Linked DNA regions of Mus musculus. The protein of the gene in region 2 purifies or fractionates together with the protein of the main gene of each other region. This does not show direct contact. Links are inferred from orthologs where the notes say so. Each region holds a gene or a part of one and is shown on either strand. Other genes may lie near its edges. The genes, in order: Arf1 and Pld1.

What was found.
Region 1: the proteins of Pld1 (region 2) and Arf1 purify together in Homo sapiens (affinity purification with western blotting; 3 studies listed by BioGRID, with this or other methods). This does not show direct contact. The link is inferred for Mus musculus from reciprocal best matches to the Homo sapiens genes PLD1 and ARF1.

The regions. Positions count from the first base shown.
Region 1 is NC_000077.6:59,211,074-59,214,890, forward strand, and holds the end of Arf1 (ADP-ribosylation factor 1), read right to left. Parts: intron 2,451-3,817; 5' UTR 2,415-2,450; coding exon 2,267-2,414; intron 2,181-2,266; coding exon 2,070-2,180; intron 1,873-2,069; coding exon 1,748-1,872; intron 1,623-1,747; coding exon 1,461-1,622; 3' UTR 339-1,460; downstream 1-338. UniProt on the Homo sapiens protein: Small GTPase involved in protein trafficking between different compartments. Modulates vesicle budding and uncoating within the Golgi complex. In its GTP-bound form, triggers the recruitment of coatomer proteins to the Golgi membrane.
Region 2 is NC_000069.6:28,025,660-28,029,476, reverse strand, and holds part of Pld1 (phospholipase D1), read right to left. Parts: intron 882-3,817; coding exon 736-881; intron 311-735; coding exon 205-310; intron 1-204. UniProt on the Homo sapiens protein: Function as phospholipase selective for phosphatidylcholine. Implicated as a critical step in numerous cellular pathways, including signal transduction, membrane trafficking, and the regulation of mitosis.

The DNA.
Region 1 (3,817 bases), on a different chromosome or scaffold from region 2:
GACCTGTGCCCTGCAGGTAGCCACCTAAGCATGAGAGAAGACTAATTATCTAAGACCTCAAGGGGGTGAAGGTCAGTCCACTTAGGCAGGGGCCTATTCGGAAGGATGATAAACTTTGGATCTTCTAGTGGTCACACCTACCCAGAGATAAGCACTCCAAGGCCAGCTGCCCCAGTCTGTCACAGAAAGGAAAGGAAAGAAGCACGTCAAGACATCCAGATCTTACCAGATTACACTAGGGCTTAAAGGGCACCTGTTTCCCTGTTTCCTATAGCATGAAAAGGGCTCTCAATCTCAGGAAGAAGCCTGGCAGTGGTGGCACTGACACACAAGCCCATCAAATAGTTAAGAGACTTTATTCTAACAGCTATAATTACAGTGCTTGTCGAAATGAAAACTGAAAACAAGTATACAAAACAGTTGATTACTAATTGTGTATTGAAAGCGGTAAGAGGTTCCACGACACCAAATAAACCAGTTCTGAGATTTCCCCAAGATAAATTTAACAGCTCCAGCTTCTTCAGTGTTTATCAAAATACAAAAGAAAAAAGTAGAGGTCGTCTTTCGATGGCAAATCGGACCCTTGCAGGCTGAGGGAGGAAGCTACTTCACACATGGAGATGGGGGTGCTCCAGGATGTGGGTCTGTAATGGACCGACCCTCCCACCTTGCACGCACTCCTGCTGGTGAGACCCAGGCCTCCTGCCAGCGCGTCCAAGTGGGCCCAAGAGTAGGCTGGGTATGCAGGCTGCCATTGGGCCTTGCACACACCAAGTACAAGCCAGGCCCTGCACCCCACAATGGCTCCCAGCCTACCCTAGGTAACCGTGTGAGCACAAGTACAAGCACAATGCTATGGAATGCAGGTGACCCAAAGACAGGCGAGTCACGGGGGCTCTACTGTGACCATGCAGCGGATGGTGGTTTGTTCATCACCTTCTCTCCTGTTCCCACAGCGAAACAGGTGATCTGATATCTAGCATTCAGGCCATTAACTGCAAAACCTACACTAGGCATAGTCTCCGTTCTGTGTGTTCAAGTGTTCTTGTCCTGTATTTTTAACTATTTTTAAAAAATGCACTGAGTTTGGGTTAAAAACCAACCACCAAATGGATACCGACACCAGTCTACAGCCCAATGGCTCCCGGAGGCCAGGTGCCCCTACACCCAAATCCCTTCTCAGTACTGACAGTTGAGTTGATTCTCTTTTTACAATAAAAAAGCTAAGTAATATTGCATAGGAGTACCAGAAACTGCCTCAGTGGAAACAGAAACTATTTACATTAAATAAAAACCTGGCTGCAGGCTGCGTCTGCACATGTACAGCACGGTGCGATGCACACTGTGACCAACCCATGGAGACAGCTTCTGGCACTCAGGACCACAGAGTCGCACGTTTGCCACATGAGAGGAAAGCTGAGGGCGGAGAAGAGGAAGTGAGGGGGAGGGAGGGGTCTGGTTCACTTCTGGTTCCGGAGCTGATTAGACAGCCAATCTAGTCCTTCATAGAGCCCGTCCCCGCTGGTGGCACAGGTGGCCTGAATGTACCAGTTCCTGTGGCGTAGAGAGTGCAGCCCCAGCTTGTCTGTGATTTCGGCCGCATTCATGGCATTGGGGAGGTCCTGAGGAAAAGGAAGAATTAGTGGCAGGGACCACAAACAGCCAATAACCCTGGGTAGCCTTTCACCCCTCCTCTTTCTTCCCTGATACAGGTTTTCCTTCAGGGAAGGACCTTGCTGGTGCCTACCTGCTTGTTGGCAAACACCAAGAGAACAGCATCTCGGAGCTCATCTTCAGCTAGCATCCTCATGAGCTCTTCACGGGCCTCGTTCACACGCTCTCTGTCATTGCTGTCCACTACGAAGATCAAGCCTGAAACATGGCCACATTAGTGCACATACTGAACACTCCCCACCAGACCCCACAGGTTCTAGATCCAGTCCTTCCACTGGCCGTGATGTTTGGTGTGGCTTCATGCCCTGAAATGGCAAAGACCACAAGGCTCAGTGAACCAACTGTATCCCTTTGAGGCAAATATGAGGAATCTAGGACAAGGACTGGCTGCTTACCTTGGGTGTTCTGGAAGTAGTGGCGCCACAGCGGCCGGATCTTGTCCTGGCCGCCCACATCCCACACGGTGAAGCTGATATTCTTGTATTCAACAGTCTCCACATTGAAACCTGGGGGGCAGGACTGCAGCTGAGGGCCTCTGTATTTTGGATCCCCACACCCAACCCCCACCCTGGCCCTGGGCCCAGCTTCTCACCAATGGTGGGAATGGTGGTCACAATTTCGCCCAGCTTAAGTTTGTATAGAATTGTTGTCTTCCCTGCAGCATCCAGGCCCACCATGAGAATGCGCATTTCTTTTTTGCCAAAAAGGCCCTTGAAGAGGTTTGCAAAGATATTCCCCATGTTTGTGGACAGGTGGAATCGATACTGGCCAAAGACCTGGGAAAGAAAAGTGGTTCAAGTACTGTTATGTGCTGCCAGTGTGGGCCCTGTGGCAGGTCAGAGACACCTATGTAGGAGTCCCCTGCCCTAAGCCATGTCCTCATATCCCTCCTGAAATTTCATGGGAGGATGGGAGACAATTCAATCCTAGGTCCCAGGTGGCAGCAAAGAACCCTGCCCCCTGCCCACCAGACTCCCTACGCTCACCAAGGTCACACATATCAGTTTAGGAAGACGCAGATACCACAACAACCCCTTGTCTCCCAAGTCTAATCACTTGTCAGAATGAAGGGACATCTAACTACAATCAAGTATGCTCACACTCGGGAGCTGGCACTAAAAAGAGTTTTGAGAGAAAGGGCCTTTTTTGGGGTTTGTTTTGGTTTTTGGTTTTTTAAGACAGGGTTTCTCTGTATAGCCCTGGCTGTCCTGGAACTCAGAAATCCACCTGCCTCTGCCTCCCAAGTGCTGGGATTAAAGGCATGCACCACCACTGCCTGGCTGACACAGGGCCTCTTAAAACCTAACAGAGCTCTTCACAAAATCAGAAAAAACCACCTTACATCTCTATTCTTACTTCAAAGTGTCAAAGTATCCACAATTTTCAACTAAAGAAATAGTCACACTCTATGCTCAACACTACAAGCCAAATGTTCTACCAGCCCCTGGTGACAGCGAGACTAGACAAGCCCATAAGAACTGTGATGCCATCTCTCCAGGCATTTCTGTCTGCCCAGGTCATGGGAGACAGATGTTAAGACAGTGTTCTATCTCAAGTCGCAAGAAGAAAGAGACTCAAACAGTAAACCATTGGCAGCACATTCCTATAAGAGGATGACAGGCAAATGTGAGCTGTGTCCCTGCAAGGGCCTATGCATACTTAGTAGGTAAGGCCCACTGGAAGAAAAGAAACGCTAGGCAATTTAGTTGGTACCAATGTACCAGGGCCTATCAAATGTTAAGAGCTTCTGGGAAGGATAGTAAGGTTTCCCTAGGTCTGGTCTCAACATCTGGTGGCCACTTTGATCTTCACTTCTCATCCAAATGGATTTACTGCTTGCTTTGTCAAATGCTCATTGTTAACTCTTAATAAGAAAAGCAAATAGAAGGCCACAGTGCCTTCAGAAAGAGTTGTCAATCCTAGGTATTATCCAAGGCTACTGACCCATAGGAAAAAGAATGACAAAGTTTCCCTATAAATTGTCTCGTAGTGCTACCTTAACAGAACATCATACAGTGGGCAACTTGGCAACAACAGATACAGTAGACATCCAAATCATGGTCTGGCAGGTTGGATGTCTGACTCTAAGGTGAGGTCTTCAGCCGTATCCTTCAGGAGAGGAATGCCATAATCTCATGTAGCA
Region 2 (3,817 bases):
AGGTAAAAGTGCTTCCCACACAAGCCTGAAGACTTGGGTTTGATCTTGGGAAGCTATAAAAATATGGAAGGAAAAAACTGATTCCACAAAGTGGTCTTCTGATCACTACACGTGCGCGCGCATGCGCACATGCACGTACACACACACACACACAGAAGAATAAGTGCAGTTAAACTTTCACAAAGCAGCAGAATAAAGACTCACCCTCCTGCCAAAGAACTGCTCTTCCTGGATTGCGTTTTCTGATGAACGGGGCAGACTGGGCATCTCTCGGGGTTCTTCTTTGACATTTTGTCTTCTAAATGTATGTCTAAAATACACACAAACACAATACAAAAAGCGATTAGACTATTCTTAAAGTATTTTATATTATCTTTCATGCCATGGTTTAGTATTGATATTTTAGTATTATATTATTTTATTTTTACAACATTCAGTATTATTTCAGTATTATAATTGATATTAGTAGTATATCCTGTCAATGTTTAAAACATTCTCATGTAGCCCAGGCTAGCCTCCAGCTCAAATATAGTCAAGACTAGCCTTGAACTCCTGATTCTCTCAAGTGCTGGGGATCACAGTTTGCTGTACACAGCAGCTGAGGTGGCTTATTTTTAAAAGAGCTATGCAATTGAAAATAGCTAACTAAAATGGGATTGGTAGCCTGTGAAACAAATGAAATGTGTCTTCCGTCCACATAACGGAGGTAAGTTTACGTCAGTTCTGCCGTGTTACCTTTTAGTGGGGATGGGGATCCGGATGAAGGCTTTGTACTTGAGCAGCTCTCTGTGAAACTCTTGGAAGTGCTTGAATTTCCTCTTAACTTGCCATGTGAATTCCCCGTGCGTTAACTCGATCGTGTACAGGTTGATACTTGGCACCTACGGTGACAGATGTTTAAAAAGAAAAGGTTTTATCTCAGATAGGGAAAGTTCTGAAATTTCCCCATAGCAAACATCAGCTAATTGCTAAGTAACATTCAAGTACTATCAGTCTATTTATTTTGTGTTGGTGTTTGGCATTTTAAAGATACGCTATCTTTAGTCATTTGCTTAGAACTTCATATACTGTGTTATGATCATACTCATCCTTGCCCCTCCCCCTCATTCCTCCTAAAACCAATTCCCACCCCCAACCTCCCCTCTTCTCCCTTCCTCATTTTTAAAAATAACCTACCCAGTCCAATTTGTGCTACCCATATACTCAAGTGACAGGGCACCCACAGGAGCATGGTGGATATACCAGAGGCTACCCACTCAAAGGAAGTTAGCTCCCTCTATCCCAGTAGCCATTCACTGACAGAAGTGTCTCTGCTAGGGAGCTGGCACTTGTGAACCATTGTAGGTAACACTTTTTTTAAAAAAGCAACCAAATATAGAGGTATTGCCTTAAATGTTCACATAATAAATTACATAAATAAACTTTGTATCATACAAACAAACTCTGTAAATCCTTTTTCTCTATGCATACGCATGCCCACACGCACTTGCACACTAGAAATGGAGGAAGCAGTTAGTGAGACCCTGACAAGCACTGAGAGCCCTGGTCACACATGGACAGCAAAGACACATTGCAGATGGAGAGGAGGCAGGAACAAGGGCCTATGGGACCACCTTCTTAGCCCTTTTTACCTAAACAAATGGCACAGAGCATGATATCATCCCTTCATTAAAAAAAATGGAAGAAAAGAAAATCCAAGGTCTAGCCTTGTCTACACAAGCCCCTGCATGAGGCACCTGCCAGGGTTCAAGGACACAGGGAAGACTGCTGCCCAGCTGAGTATAGGGTGTATAACAGGATTGTGATCTTGTCAGACTAATGTAAAGCACTTGTAGACCCAGTGTCTGAGGGTACAGAAACCACGAGGTTCAGTTTCCTGTTCAAGATTTCAAAGCAAAGACACAAACTCAGCCCTGCAGTTCAGCTCCAGAGTCTGTGCATTTAAGCCCTATGCAGTATACCTTGCCCTCTAAAAGATGCCAGGCAGAATAAGGGGCAAAGGGACATCTTAGAGACGTGGCTCATCACAGAAGTGTGAGCCTAACGCTGTAGGGAAAGCCTACAGCTGAGCTCAAGCAACCAAAAGCTCTGCAGTGAATAAACCCCATGTGGAGACATGGGTTTCTAATCTCAGCACTCCTGAGGTGGAGTTCAAGGTCAGCCTCAGCTACATAGCAATAATATGTCCAAAATGTAGGGGCTAATTGGGGCTACATGAGACCATCTCTGAAAAGGGGAAGGGCAGGGGAGACAGAGACAGGGGGAGAAGGAAAGAAAAGAGTCCAGAGCACAGGCAGACAGGCAGACACCAGTGTGGACACCAGGGTGGTGTAAACTGAGTACAGCAAAATCGAAACCACAGCTGCCCGGCAGCCTCCAAGATACTGAGGGTGGGGGATGGGAGGCTGGGAAGTGGGGGGGGGGGTCAACTGACTGCTGACCAAAGGTTATGATTCTGGGTGTGTGTGGAGGCAGAGGCCAATGGTAGCTAGTCCTGACTAGTTCTTAACCTGAAGTACAAAGGTCACCGTTCTCCAACTACTAGACCTGACTTGTATGAAATCCAAGCAGCAATAAGCAAACAACTACCCAGACTGTTTTTTGATCCAATGTGTTTCTGGGAGACCAGCTTCGCTCTGCAGAGATAGTTTATGCTAATTCTTTTTTTTCTTTTTTTTTCTTTTTTTCTTTTTTTTTTTTTTTTTTTTTGTATTCAGAAAGAACAGATAGGATGAAGTCTCAGAGGCCGGGGTGGAATTTAGGGACTGAAGGTAACACCCAGAGGACTAAAGATAGGCTGCAGGGGACTGGAGAGTGGGGTCTCAAGAACAAATCAGAGATAAAATTTGCCAGCAGCATTTTCTCTCAGCAGTGCACCTGAATATAGATCTCACGCACTTATAGATCACAATGTTGGGACATTTGTTTCCTTTTAAGAGATAAGTAGCATTCATATTTTCTTGCTGAAGACGTCTTAGGAAAAGTACAGCTTCTCTTGACTTATAAATGGCCTTCAGTTAGAATGGATGTGGAATGAAAAACAAATAAGCAGAAGAAATAAAAGGGAAGGGCATGACCACTCCTCGGTATGGGGAAGGGAAGGCTTGTTGTAGACATGGGAGAGAGCAGAGTCAAAGGCAGGGGCGTCTGGGAGAGCAGAGTGAAGTTGACTTTTATCTGGGCCATGTGAGGAGAAGAGGAGGGGAGAGGGCATAGCCAGGAGAGTAAAGGGGAGGGTAACCAGATGGCTGGATTATATAGGGAAGGGCTCTGGAGAAAGGAAGCAGAGCCTTGGGCTGGAGATGCTAGGATGGGGGTGAGAGGGATGGGCAATATGCCAATCATACCCTATAACAGGTAGGGACCGAGGGATGCTGGGAGAACCTGGCAGCCGGGTCCACCTTGATGTGTTAAATCGGCACCTCGGCCATTTGTCCTGGGTTTGAGACCTAACAGACAGATGCAAGCCAAAAGCCCAAGTGAAAGGGCTACGGGAGAGTTATTAAATTAATAGATTGCCTCGAATGATCTTTCTTGTGTGTTTCTTTCCATGTATTGACCTATTTTGTGCCCATGTGTCTGTGAGCACATGGGTGTCACAGCACTCAGGTGGAGCTCAGAGGAAAGTTGTCAGGAGTCAGTTCTCCTCCATCATCCCCCAGACCTGGCTTCAGAGATCAAACTAAGGTTCTCAGCCCTGGCAGCACCTACTGAACCACCTCACCAGCCCTTGACCACTGTCCAACATAAAACACAAGAAGCCTTGAGGCAGCATAGCGGCTCACACCTATTTCCTCAACCCTGGGGAGGCAGAGGA